Linked DNA regions of Mus musculus. The protein of the gene in region 2 interacts with the protein of the main gene of each other region in a pairwise test. Links are inferred from orthologs where the notes say so. Each region holds a gene or a part of one and is shown on either strand. Other genes may lie near its edges.

Region 1 (4,171 bases), on a different chromosome or scaffold from region 2:
TCCTTCCTCCCTCCCTCCCTCCCTCCCTCCCTCCCTCCCTCCCTCCCTCCCTCCCTCCCTCCCTCCCTCCCTCCCTTCCTTCCTTCCTTCCTTCCTTCCTTCCTTCCTTCCATCCAATTATCTGTGCCAGTTCCTTCATCTTCTCCCTGTTCTTTTTCTTCTTTCCTCTTCACCCTTCTCTCTTTCCTACCTTCTGAGGAATATTTGTTTAGAGCCTGGACAACATTCTTAGATATAGCAGGCTTCTTCAAAGCAAAACACTTCTCAGGAGAAAACTTACTCATTCACTGAGTTCCCGATCAGCTCCTCTGAACCTTGAGTACCCTCTACATAAGTCCTTATCTTTTGAAAATAGGGTCCCTCACTGAATCTAGAGATCACTCTTTGCTGGTCTGGTTGGCCAGTGATCTCCTGAGATGCTCTTGTTTGCCTCCCTAGCCTGGTTGTATAGGTGCCAGCTGATGTACCTGGCTTTGACATGGGTGCTGGAGATCTGAACAGCTCCTGTTTATATGGCAAGCACTTTACTGACTGAACTACCTCCCTATACCCTCAGAGTGCTCTTTCTTGTCCTCAAGTCCCCTGCCTGAACTCACAAGGAGATAAAGCTCCTTAAGATGCTTCAAAAGGACCCTTATTGCCTGATACCAGATGGTTCTTTAGACCCTTGCCCACCTCCTGTCACATATTACACATGTATACAGGACTGGAGCTATCTACAGGTTCCCTAGTGTCCTATTAGCCTTATTTCCCACACCCTGAGTGTGCCCATCCCTTAACCCTGAGTGTACCCATCCCTCAGTCAGCACTCTACCACATTCTCCCTGTATGTACTTTGACAGTGCATATTCATTCACCACCATGTTCTTCATCTTGTACTGTAATTTACTTGCTTGGGCTGCATTTTCCTGTCAGGTGTCAAGCTGCTGAGTGAGAAGACTGAGAAGTTCATCTCTGGGGTCCTGGGTTGAGCTCTTAGAAGGCACTCAATGTACATTTGTAGGGTGGGTGGATAGATGATGGATGGATGATAGATGAAGGACTCTTTACAAGAATAGAAGAGTCTTCAGATAAGATGATTAAAATGTCTGTGTACCAGGGAAGAAGTCAGGAGGCTTCCTCATCAAAGCCCAAATCTTAGTCAAAAGGATGAAGCTGTGGCCTCTGCCAGGCAAATCGTCTAAGCCAAGAACAGGGAACTTGGGCATGACAAAGTGGCCTGCTTTTTGACTCATTTCCCGTTTCTTTCTGGATAAAAAGGTCCTTGGGGAGACAGATATTGAGAATTTCCTATGCCAGAGGCAGAGATGAAGGAGGAGGCTCCCGAAGCGCACTTCACAGTGGACAAACAGAACATCTCTCTCTGGCCTCGAGGCAAGTACCAGCTACTGCTCCATGCCCACTTGGTGCTTCTGCCCACAACTGCTCTTCACTGATCCTTAACAGACCTCTCTGTCCCCTTCCAGAGCCTCCTCCCAAGCAAGATCTGTCTCCAGTTCTAAGGAAACCTCTCTGTATCTGCGTGGCCTTCACCTGCCTGGCATTGGTGCTGGTCACCTCCATTGTGCTTCAGGCTGTTTTCTGTAAGTCAACTGGTCCCTGGGGATCCAAACCTTTTGGCTACAGTCCTTGGTGTCTCGGGTCTGTGACATTTTAGGAACTTTCCTGATGTTTCTAGAAGCTGGCCTGCTATCCCTTCTGTACTGGGTTCTAGGAGGACCTTATAACTGGCATTAGAAAATGTCTGTTCTCAGGGTACTCTTCTGTCTTCAAGAAACAATCACTAAGCTTTTTATCTCTGCCTTTGACTCCCTTAGACTCCTGTCACTCACAGCTCCCAGATTGTTGGATTCAAAGCTTTGTTGCTAGCTCCCAACAGGGAGCTTGATGTCTCCTGATCTCACTAGGTATTTACTCGGTACTATACTAGTTCTGCGCTGAACCGAGCCAGCAAACCTCCCAGTCTCTGCACTCCTTTGTCCAGGCAAAGAGTATGTCCATACTTGGAGCCTTCTTATTCCTCTTCTAGAAGCTTCTTGGCCTCTGCTGAAATCATACCTCTCTTCCTTCTGCTCTAGAGAGCCCAGGGAAAAATGTCTTTTCTTTTTATGATCTACATGCATGGTCTCCTGGACATCACTGACCTTGATCTTATCCTAGACCACTAGTCTTGTCTCTTCTCTTATCTCCCACCTCTCTCCTTTTGTTTGTGGCCCTGCCTAGCTTGGAACCCAGTAGATCAGGCCTGCCTGGAACTCACTGAGATTCACTCGCCTTTGCCTCCTGAGTGCTGGGAGTAAAGGTGTGTCCACCAGGCCCTTCTAACACTTCCTTTCTCATAGGACTCTCTTAAAAATATCATTTTATTGTATATATGTATATGAGTGTTTTGCTTGCCTGTTTGTGCACCACATGCCCTGGTGCCCTAAGAGTGAAGAGTGCATTGGACTTCACTAGAACTGAAGTCATAGTCAAGAGTTATAGTCAAGAGCTGTCATATATGCTGGGAAGTAAACCAAGGTATTCTGCAAGGATAAGTGTTCTTCCTGCTGAGTCATCTTCCATCCCATAGGACTCCTTTGACAGTTATTGGTTAGTTTTGGCTCCTGTGCCAATGATCTTAGTAGAGTATGAGAGATAGGGCCAAGGAAGGGCAGAAAGAGCTTCATGCCCCTCCCGTATGCTCTGGAGTCTACATGTATATGGCCCCACTCATGGCCATAAAGCAGGCTGTGGGCAGACAAGGGACGGGTGTGCTTCCCTAGCTGGTGGTGGGGTCTTTGACAGGAGATGGCTGGGGACTAACTCATAGACTGAGAGAGGACCCAGAGATGGAGTGATGAGGCAGTGACTAAGGGAACCCCCTTTACCAAGTTCACCCAGACCACACTAAGGAATTTCAGGTTTGGGATCTCCCTCTGCTTCTTCATGAGGACTCTTGGTCTCCTCACTGCCTGTGCCAACCAGCGTTCATGATGTGTGGTAGCCCCTAATGCATACTTGCTGCATATTGATGAATGGATGGAGAGTGGGTGGCAGTTCCTTGGACTGTCTTGATCCTGCAGCTTCTCCTTCCTTTGGACAACACTCCATCTCCATGGCTCAGGAACCCCTCAGCTGACCCCTTGACTGTCTCAAATCTAGATCCTAGGTTGATGGGCAAAATATTGGATGTGAAGAGTGATGCCCAGATGTTGAAAGGTCGTGTGGACAACATCAGCACCCTGGGTTCTGATCTTAAGACTGAAAGAGGTCGTGTGGACGATGCTGAGGTTCAGATGCAGATAGTGAACACCACCCTCAAGAGGGTGCGTTCTCAGATCCTGTCTTTGGAAACCAGCATGAAGATAGCCAATGATCAGCTCCAGATATTAACAATGAGCTGGGGAGAGGTTGACAGTCTCAGTGCCAAAATCCCAGAACTGAAAAGAGATCTGGATAAAGCCAGCGCCTTGAACACAAAGGTCCAAGGACTACAGAACAGCTTGGAGAATGTCAACAAGCTGCTCAAACAACAGAGTAAGTAAATGAGATCAGCCTGCAGGCTGACCAGGGGCCGCGAGCCCCTACCTGTTTTGAGCAGTAGTTTGGGTCTCTACACTAAGGTGCAGAATGTAGAAGCATTGGGAGTCTAGTCTGCCCTGGCATTCTGTGTGGCCTGAAAAAAACCACATACTTGGTTTGGAGTGAGTGAGTTTATTAAATATGTAGTGAGCTAAAAATAAAAGAATAAACAGGGGCTGGAGAGATGGCTCAGCAGTTAAGAGCACTGGCTGCTCTTCCAAAGGTACTGAGTTCAATTCCCAGCAACCACATGGTGGCTCACAACTATCTGTAGTGGGGTCTGATGCCTTCTTCTGGTGTGTCTGAAAACAGCTACAGTGTACTCATATACATATAATAAATAAATCTATCTTAAAAAAGAATAGACAACAAATGATGGATGAATAAATGATTGATAGACACAGAGAGACAGATAGATAGGTGATAGATTGATATAGCAAAACGTCAAATTGGGCATTAAAGCCTCTAGCAGAAACCCACTGAGGAAGGCCCACTGAGGCCTTCTGATGGATTTTCTGACAGAGTCCCTGAGGAGCAGAGGATCACTTAGGGTAAGGCTTTCAAGTAAAAGAACAAACAGCAAATGTGATGACTGGAAGGTGGTGTC
Region 2 (4,307 bases):
AGACAGGGTTTCTCTGTGTAACCCTGGCTGCTGTGGAACTTGCTCTGTAGTCTAGTCTGGCCTGGAACCCAGAGATCCACCTGCCTCTGCTGGGACTAAAGGCATGCACCACTCATACCCAGCCAGAATGCCAGCTCTAGCTGCAGAGAAGTTTACTGAGTTGTATAGAGTTTGGTTCTGGTTACTTTCTGTGTGCGATGTTATTTATTTGCAATTTATATAATAGAGTTTATAAGATTAGAAAAGACAAGAGCTGGAAGAATAAACAAATTAGCTTGGTGATGTAATTAAAAATGTACCAAGTAAAATAATGCAGGGCACTTACTCCTTATGCTACTTTACCCACAACCCACCTCTATGACTCCCCCCCCCCCCGCGCGCGCGCACGCACACACACACACACACACACACACACACACCCCTCCTCTGCCTTTCAGAAGTCCTAGTCAGCGATGCTGAAGAATGAGTGTTTGAGCGCTCTTTAACTCAGCTGTAAGGGTTACCCAGGATACTCACCCTACTCATGCATCAAAACAGCCTGATCATGGCTTTGCAGAAAGTTAAACACAGAGCGCCACGTGACCCAGCAAGTCTACTTTTAGATAAGCATCCAAAGGAATGGAAGCAGGGAGTTGAACAGACACTTGGACACCGGTTCACAGTAGCATCATTCAGAACGGCGGAAGGTGGGACTTGCCCAAGTGTCCATCCGTGGAGAAATAAAAACACAACATCTACTATGGAAGATGTATATGTGGTAATGGAATATTATTCAGCCAAACCACGCCCAGCCAAGATAGCTAAGGAAGTTTGGATAATTGTTTTACTGCCTCTTCCATCTCTTTCCCACTGAAGAACTAGAAGGGATTAACTTGGTGAATATTCATTCCCTTTGTCCCTACCTGACAAACCGAGGGGCTCTATTGTTAGCTCGGAGAGACGGTCTTCAGTGAGATCAGACTCCATGTGCAAAATTTAGGCGAGGAAGTGGGCCGGTCCTCAGGGCACTAGTGTGAGCCACCACCACACAATGCGGTTCACTTCCTGCACCGCAGCTCCCGGCTACCCCGGCTTACTCCCCCACCCCACCCCCGCCCCTAATACTCGCTGGGTTGGAGAGACTGAGAGGACCTAGAACAGCAGGCGGCTACTGTGTTGTGTCTTAGGCAAATGTTTCGACTGCTTGGCCAATTAGCGTCCTCTCCCAGAAAGACGGGTTCAACAGGTTTCCAATTGCTCCTCCTCTGTCTCGTGGGTTGGGGAAAAGGGCTGTCACTTTGCTTCGACCCTCCCCTTCCCACCCTCTGGTCTCTCCCAGCCCAGCTCGGACCAATCGCGCCGGCTCCAACGTGTCCATGTTGGCGGCCCGGGAGCACCGCCGCCTGGATGCGCAGCGCTAGGGTGCCGGAGAGCTGGGAGCCGGGAGCCCCGAATAGGGAGCCGAGTGCTGGGGTACGCCCGGGACGCGGCCCCGATGACCGAGCTCCAGCAAGAGGTGGAGGACGCCAAGCCAGCCAAAGTGCTCACCAAGAGAGAAGGCAAAGTTGGCCCGGCCCAGTAAGTGACCTCTACTGGACGCGACGCGCCCAGACCGAATTGTTAGCCTGAGTTCAGACTGGGAAAGGCTTTCTGAACTTCTGTAGAGACAGCCCTTATATATATCTTAATCTCTCTGTCTCTGTCTTTGTCTCTCTGTGTCTGTCTCTTTCTCTGTCTCTCTGTCTCTGCCTCTCCCCCTACCCCCCCGCCTTGTGTGTGTCCGTGTGTCCGTGTGTGTCCATGTATCCCTCCCTCTCTCCCTTCGTCTCCAGCTTTTTCTTTCCCTCTCTCCGTTCCTGCCTCCTCCCTTCCTCTCCTCACCGAAGAATGCATTGTCTATCCGGCAATCCGGTGATGATGAGAATTATTGGATCCGAAATTATAGTTGATGTTTCCTAATTCCCCAGGGAGGTTTAGGGAAACTCGTCAAATCTTGGAGCCATGTCAAAAGTCCGTGCTAAAATTTGCTCAGTCCTCCTATTTAAATCTGAATGACATCTGGGGAGATCCAGGCGCCCTTGGTTATTGGAGCTCATCTGTTGATCACTTTCACAATGATGTGTATTTAATTTGACTCAGAGCTCGGGGTCAGCTCTCCTCATTTTTCCCCACTGTTTCCACCTAAGAGAGAAGTAGTCGGAAGCAAGCATCCTTTATCCTCCCCTCAAAGTCTGTGCCCTTACACACACACACACACACACACACACACACACACACACACACACACACCGCTACCACCACCACCATATGGTTGTGTCTGTCCTCTTAAAGCATTTATGTGCACATTAGATTTGCACATTATCTGACCTATACCATCTTCTAACCGAAAACAAAGTTTCCCATCACAAGTATTTACATCCTGTAAGGAAACTCTTTCCTTTCTATTGCTACTTGGAACACTTGTTTAATAGCCCAGAGGTATGGTTTTTAAACGGTTGCTATTCTTGTTCCTCTTTTTAAAAGCAAAAAACCCTTTGACTCGTTGCTGACTTGCTCTGTTACCACATCACTGAAACATTAACCCATGGCACAGTCAATATCTAAATAAGCCTGCTTTGATTTCACAGTATTAAGTTGTTAGAGAGCCCACAATGCTTTATTGATACTACAGTTTCTAATAGTGAAGACTCGTTCTCTGTTACCATTATTTCATGCTTCGGGCATTTTGTTGTTGTTTTGTTTGTGGATCACAGCTTTGTCCCACATGAGGACTGCATCCTTGACTGCAGATTCTCCATTAGCATTTCTCAACCTATAGGTTATGACTCCATTTGGGGTCCAAGGTCCCTGTCACAGAGGTGGTCTAAAACATTGGGAAAACACAGATATTTACATTCTAACTCTTAACGATAGCAAAATTACAGTTATGAAGTAGCAACAAAATAATGTTATGGTTGGGTTCATCCCAAAATGAGGAACTGTATTAAAGGGTCGCAGCATTAGGAAGGTTGAGAACCACTACTGTGGACTCTGTCAATTGAGTTTATATGGAAATTTGGGAAGAAGATAGGTCAGTTGTTTTGATCTGTGCTTTCAAGGCTGTGGCCATATTCTCTCCTGGGTCTCTGACCTTCTGACAGCTCTTTGCTGTCCAGTGTCCAGCATCTTAAACTAGCATCTCTCATCCTTCACTTGGTCATACCAAAAGGTCGAAAAGTGTTATATTTCCCACTCGTTATGATGAAGGAACAATGTTCCCAGAAGTAAAACTCCCGTAAAAATTGGTTTCGTGCCACCGAATAAAATCCAACTGTATAATAATTCAGATCTATAACCGGGCATGATGGCACATGCCTTCAATCCTAGCAGTTGGGAGGCAGAAGCAGGAGACTCTTCATGAGTTTGAGCCCGATCTTATCTACATAGCAAGTTCCAGGACAGCCAGGATTACATAGAAAGACCTTGGCTCAAAAAAAAAAATCTAAGAAAAAAATGGACTATTAAATAATACCTGTTTCCTTTGCTCTTTATCATCTTTCTACATACTCTATTTCTCTGAAGAAAACTCAGTATGGATAGTCCTTTTACCGTGTTATAGACATTGTCTGTGGCTGGAGCCCTGAGGGTCAGAAGCAGGACTAGAGAGCCAGGGTCTTGAAACTTGTAGTCTTAGACTAACCCAAGGGAGTCTACTTCCAGTTACACAAAGTAGGATGACTCAAGTCTACCAAACAGCTGCCGAGCTTTGGCATCTTTGTGTCCTAGATGTCTAGATCCTCAGAAAAGGCCATGCTTTGGTTTGTTTGAAAACTCTATGATAGCATTGATGCAAGTTTCGTTCATTCAAAGCTTAGACCTTAGGGAAATACTGGGCACCCTGAAGCTCTGATACATTCTTTCATTTGGAATCCCTGAAGCTCATAGCTCTGATACAGTCTTTCATTTGGACTCTTCCCTGTCACCAATTGCTTTCAGTTCAACAAATACTGTGCTACCTACATGTACAATCATGGTGTTGAGTTCAAGGATATATGTGGTTTTGTGTCTGTCCTTCTGAAACCCGAAAGAACTGTGGGCCAGACTGGGCACAAAAGTGGCCATTGCCACATTAAGTGCACAAGGTACCATACAAAGTTTGATCTCTAACCAAATCTTCCCCGTGGTTATGATATTTGCCTATTGCCGTCTTTAGTAAACTGTTGCAAAATTTGCTAACTTATTTTTCCCTACAACATAGTTTGTGTAAGCCTGCCAAGATCACATTTGCTTCTGTCTGCATTTCCTTTTGAGCTCTTCGACTCCTGCTCTGGTGTCAGGATAAGAGTTAC
Region 3 (4,493 bases), on a different chromosome or scaffold from region 2:
CTGCCATCCACTAGCTGTGGGCCTTCCATTTCCTCATGGGTAAAGTGGGGGTGAAAATCCCAAGCTTGGGGTGGTGGCTCAGTGCTGGGGCCTCATAGGCACCTGTGGGAGTTACAGCTAATAGGAACATTATCAGATTTCTCCATAACTGAAACTAGAGCTGCCACCCAGACTGTGGGTGTGGATGAAAGTCACAGAGATACAAAGTGGTCACCTGGCAGGTACCTCAGAGAGCCAGGCCCCTTCCTGCCCAGTATCCAAGGATGGATTTGAGACAGAATCCTTGAGCATATCAAATGCCACTTCTTCTGGCTGCTCTCCACTGTTGGCTCAGGCCTGCTGAGGACACCCACTGTATCCAGAACAATACCATATAAAACTCAGTTGAGACAACTGTTGCAGACAAGAAGACAATCTCAGCCAGCAGGATGCCCACAATAGCATATTCATTTGTTACAGGCCAACCATGGGCTGGCTCAACGGTAAAGAGACTACTAATACCCATTTCACAGATGAAGAATTCGAGACTCTGCTTAGGTTATCTGCCTGGATCAATAACTTGTAAGTACTGAGTAGATGTTCAACTCAGGCAGGCCCCTCTACCCTAGACTGTCTTCTTCATCACTTAGCTGAAATTGAAGCTGAAGAATGGAAAAAAAAAAGTCCTGTGTTCCTGCTGGCTCCCCTTAAGGCCAGGAAGGAAGGGAGGCCAGGAAGATGTTCCTCCAGCTGGGAGAGAGGTGAGGTGGGAAATAGCATCTATATGTATATACCTGTGTATATGTACACTTATGTATCCTAAGTAACACATTCCACTTCCAGCATACTGGGCTGAGAATCAATAAATGATGAATCAATGGGTGGGAACATACTGGGCCTGGATATTGGCACACCAGGGTTGGAATCCTAGCTCTGTTGCTTTGGAACCTGGCAACATGTGCTCCACCTCTCTGGTCCTGACTCCTCACTTGCTGGTGATAATACCTACCTGACAGGAAAGTTGTTATACTGAACTCAGGAGCTTTTGTTCCACTCACTGTCTTAAGATTTTTCTTGCTTACCCTGCCTGGTGACTCAGCTACAGTATGGATGCTTTGGTATTGTCTCTAGGCATGACACAGCCATGGTCATATTGAGACCCAAATAGCTTAGATGAACCCCTCACATGATCAGGCATGTTCCCTGGAAGAGTGGACGAGGATCTTTATACCATCACCTGAGATTCTAGCCTCTCACCTCCTCCTATGTCACACCCCCAGCAGTGTACAGTACTGCTAGAGGATACAGGAGACAGGGGGCTAACAGAAGGGACGGCACACACCTCCATCAGTCACCCAAGATAACCTCTTTGGTTCACCAAGATGGAGTTGGTCTATGGCTATCCTGCTGACATTAATAAAAGCTCAAGTCTTCCCAGGAAAGTAATATAACAATAAATGGACAAAGACATCTGAAGATATCCCATTGTGTCTATGTTTGTTAGTGTGAGAATCCAAGATGGTCTCTGCCTACCAAGACTGTGTGGGCTAGCCTCTAAGAGTAACTTTTTCAAGGATTAAGTACCTCCCATGTACCAGGCTCTGTGCCCAGCAACCTTCCTCAAATTTCAAAGTAACTGATCCCATGAGAGAGTAAACCCAAAGGAGTTAGAGTAGAAGAATCTGGATTTGCCTCCGGGCTTGTCTCCAAAGTCTGCCCTCATCAGCACCTTCCCAGGCTGGGGATGTAGCATGCCAAGCTGGCTACGAGCCCCCAAGCAGGTGTCTTCTTCTGGGGAACGGTGAGATATGACGCTGATGAGATGGATCAGAAGGGGTCTGCCTGCTCTTGCCAGGCTGGCCTGCTGGTTGCCTTCTCCTCTGGCTCCAGTGCAGCATTCCTAACCTTTGGTTCTCTTCCCCTGCCAGGGCCAGACAATATGCCAAACAGATATTGCTTGCACAGTGGGTGAAACAAACTCCGGCCTCCCAGGAGGTGAAGTCTGCCGGACTGAGGAGGGGCCTGGGAAGAGGGTGTAACAGGCCCAAGGAGGGCTGTAGTGACACTCTACCAAGGAGGGAGTAAGGGTGTGCCTGGGGCTGGCAGTGCTCCTGAGATGGCTTCAGAGGCGCTTTCACCAGAGGCACTGGTGACTCACCGGCTTCTCCCACACCCAGTCCCCTAGTAGGTGGTGTTGCTCCGTTTGTTGAATGAATGTTAAGATTCACTAGGAAAATTCTTAAGGACTAGTTGCAGTAGGAAGAGGCCAGAGGTCTGGGTGAACTATCCTCAGCTAGGGGCTCTAACCAAATCAGTGCACCAGGAACCCGGCAGCAGAGAAAAGTCTCCCTCTCCACGTCATCCAGCCAGGCTAGTCCAGCTACAGTAGCATCACACAGCCTTTGAGTACACACCCCCTAGGGAGCGAAGACCAAAGAAGCATTTGCTGGACAGTTCCACCTGGGCAGGATCACCTCATCAGTCTGCTCACCAATAGACACTTTCCCCGTGGTCCTTCAGTTCCCCAAGTTCCCCAAGTTTCGTATCCCCAGGGGCCCAGAGAGAAACTAGGAGTGGAAGAAGCAGCCGTGCACGAGCGGACTCGACTAATTGCTGAGGCCCACAAACGCGCAGCCCGAGATGGAGAAGCTCAGAGAGCTGAGGGCAGCTGCACCCACTGGGGTAGCACCCCTGTAAGACCCAGCGCGGATCCAGGGAAAAAGCGGCCCGGATGATGGTGTCACCCGGGCATCAGGAAGCACTTACGTTCGCTGCCATGGTGGGCTTGGTTCGCTGCCGCCGTCTTGCTCTATTCCGCTAGGAATTGGGCTGACGACCGGAACGCAGAATACGGTGACCTCCTGTCTGCCACAGAGCTGCAAGACTTCTCGTGGAATCCAGGACCTGGCGGGACGCAGGACAAAAGTTACCGCCCTGCCTAAGCCTCAAGTTGTCTGCGCGTGCGCATCTTAAGGGCTGCTGGGAAATGTAGTCCGACGTCTGACACGTTCGCCACAAAATTACAAACCACTGTATTTCACTGGTGCGCGTGCGCGCTGCAAGATTTCTGGGAAATGTAGTATCGGTCTAGTTGGAGAGGCGCAAGGGCTGCTGGTCAGTGTAGTTTTCGACTGAGAAGCGGTTCTGGTGCTTAGGACGCGCGGAGGCAGGCGCGCGGCGGGCAGGCCTGGAGGGGGCGGGTCTGTGCGGGCCTCAGTGCCACCCGCCAGGCCTGAGAAGCGGCGAGGGAGGTCACGGCGAGAAGGTGTATCCGCTCCAGCCGCGCCCGCTGCCTCTGCGAGCTGCAGAGGACTGTCGGGAACAACCATGTCCTACTGCCGGCAGGAAGGTGAGTCGGGCGCTGCCATGGAGACCGGCCGGGACGGGCCTGCGAGAGACACGCGATCAAGTGGTCTCCACCGAGCGGCTGTGGGCCCTTTAGTGGGCCTCACGCGGCGGTTTCCAGACGAGAGAGGCAGAGGCTCCGTGAGGAACGAGGCCGGTCCAAGGTCAAGGTGAAGCCCGAACCCGGGCCTCGGAGGGCCTCACGTGGGCCTGGCCAGTGTGGAGCACGTTGTCTCTGGCTGGGAATCGGGGACTGTTAGGAATTAGACACCGTCGCTCCTAGCACTCCCCACGTGGTTCTATCCCGCCCAGGCTTTTTAGCTATCCCGAAAAATTACCGCTTGGGCTAGAGTGGGCGTGCTGAAGTGCATCTGGCAGGAGCATTTAGTGAGCGCCTTCTGTGTACTAGGCACGCTTTTAAACTTAACGTAGCCATTTTTATATGTCGGGTTCCCTTACTGTCCACGTCTTATCAAACGGAAAATTAAGACAGGTTACTCGATCCAGGAACCCACATCAGGTCACGAAACCGGGACCCGCTATGAAAGAGCTTCCTTTCTTCCGTCATTTCTAGCCACGTTGAGGACCACTCACTACCTGTTGTTACCTGTAAGCAGCAACCCAGAAGAATCCAGACCAATCTGTTGCTCTAAGGTCTCCCAGCACTGACTGGCTTCTTATGTCTGAGCTGCCAAACCCGCCAGGCCCTAGTTTCCACTCCTGTAAATTGAGAGATCAGGCGTCATTTACTCTGGTATTCACGAAGCACGTGCCCAAGGCAGGAAAGAGTTGGAGGGCTCTTGAGAATACAAAGCTACAGAGAGACTTGGTTCACCCAGAATTCTCAGCTCCTTTACTCTTAAGTCTAGAGAACATGAGGTACAAAGGAGGAAGTGATCCACCCAAGGCCATACATCCAGTTAGAAGGCCCCAGTCCGCTGTAGAACCCCCTCCTTCCCAGCATCATCATTGGTGCCTCTCCCGAGGACTGTTTCTGTTGGTTAGCACTTGGTGTTCCGCATACGAAAGTCCTTGACCCAGCACTGTTAGGCGGATTCCTAGGATGACTTTTGTTTCCTCCAACCTAGTTGGTAGGTTGATGACGAGTCTTTGAGTTAAGGAGGCTATGCAGATAAACATTTCTACCCCTCTTGATGGATTTACAGACC

What was found.
Region 1: the proteins of Gramd3 (region 2) and Cd207 interact in binary tests that used the Homo sapiens proteins (3 or more experiments, as listed by UniProt). The two-hybrid records come from large-scale screens. The link is inferred for Mus musculus from reciprocal best matches to the Homo sapiens genes GRAMD2B and CD207.
Region 3: the proteins of Gramd3 (region 2) and Tmem43 interact in binary tests that used the Homo sapiens proteins (3 or more experiments, as listed by UniProt). The two-hybrid records come from large-scale screens. The link is inferred for Mus musculus from reciprocal best matches to the Homo sapiens genes GRAMD2B and TMEM43.

What each region holds. Positions count from the first base shown.
Region 1 is NC_000072.6:83,674,921-83,679,091, reverse strand, and holds the start of Cd207 (C-type lectin domain family 4 member K), read left to right. Parts: upstream 1-1,234; 5' UTR 1,235-1,292; coding exon 1,293-1,374; intron 1,375-1,466; coding exon 1,467-1,583; intron 1,584-3,144; coding exon 3,145-3,519; intron 3,520-4,171. UniProt on the Homo sapiens protein: Calcium-dependent lectin displaying mannose-binding specificity. Induces the formation of Birbeck granules (BGs); is a potent regulator of membrane superimposition and zippering.
Region 2 is NC_000084.6:56,430,801-56,435,107, forward strand, and holds the start of Gramd3 (GRAM domain-containing protein 2B), read left to right. Parts: upstream 1-1,331; 5' UTR 1,332-1,474; coding exon 1,475-1,557; intron 1,558-4,307.
Region 3 is NC_000072.6:91,472,151-91,476,643, reverse strand, and holds the start of Tmem43 (transmembrane protein 43), read right to left. Parts: upstream 2,938-4,493; 5' UTR 2,758-2,937; coding exon 2,746-2,757; intron 1-2,745. Other genes in the region: Chchd4 (mitochondrial intermembrane space import and assembly protein 40), read left to right, coding at 3,307-3,328. UniProt on the Homo sapiens protein: May have an important role in maintaining nuclear envelope structure by organizing protein complexes at the inner nuclear membrane. Required for retaining emerin at the inner nuclear membrane.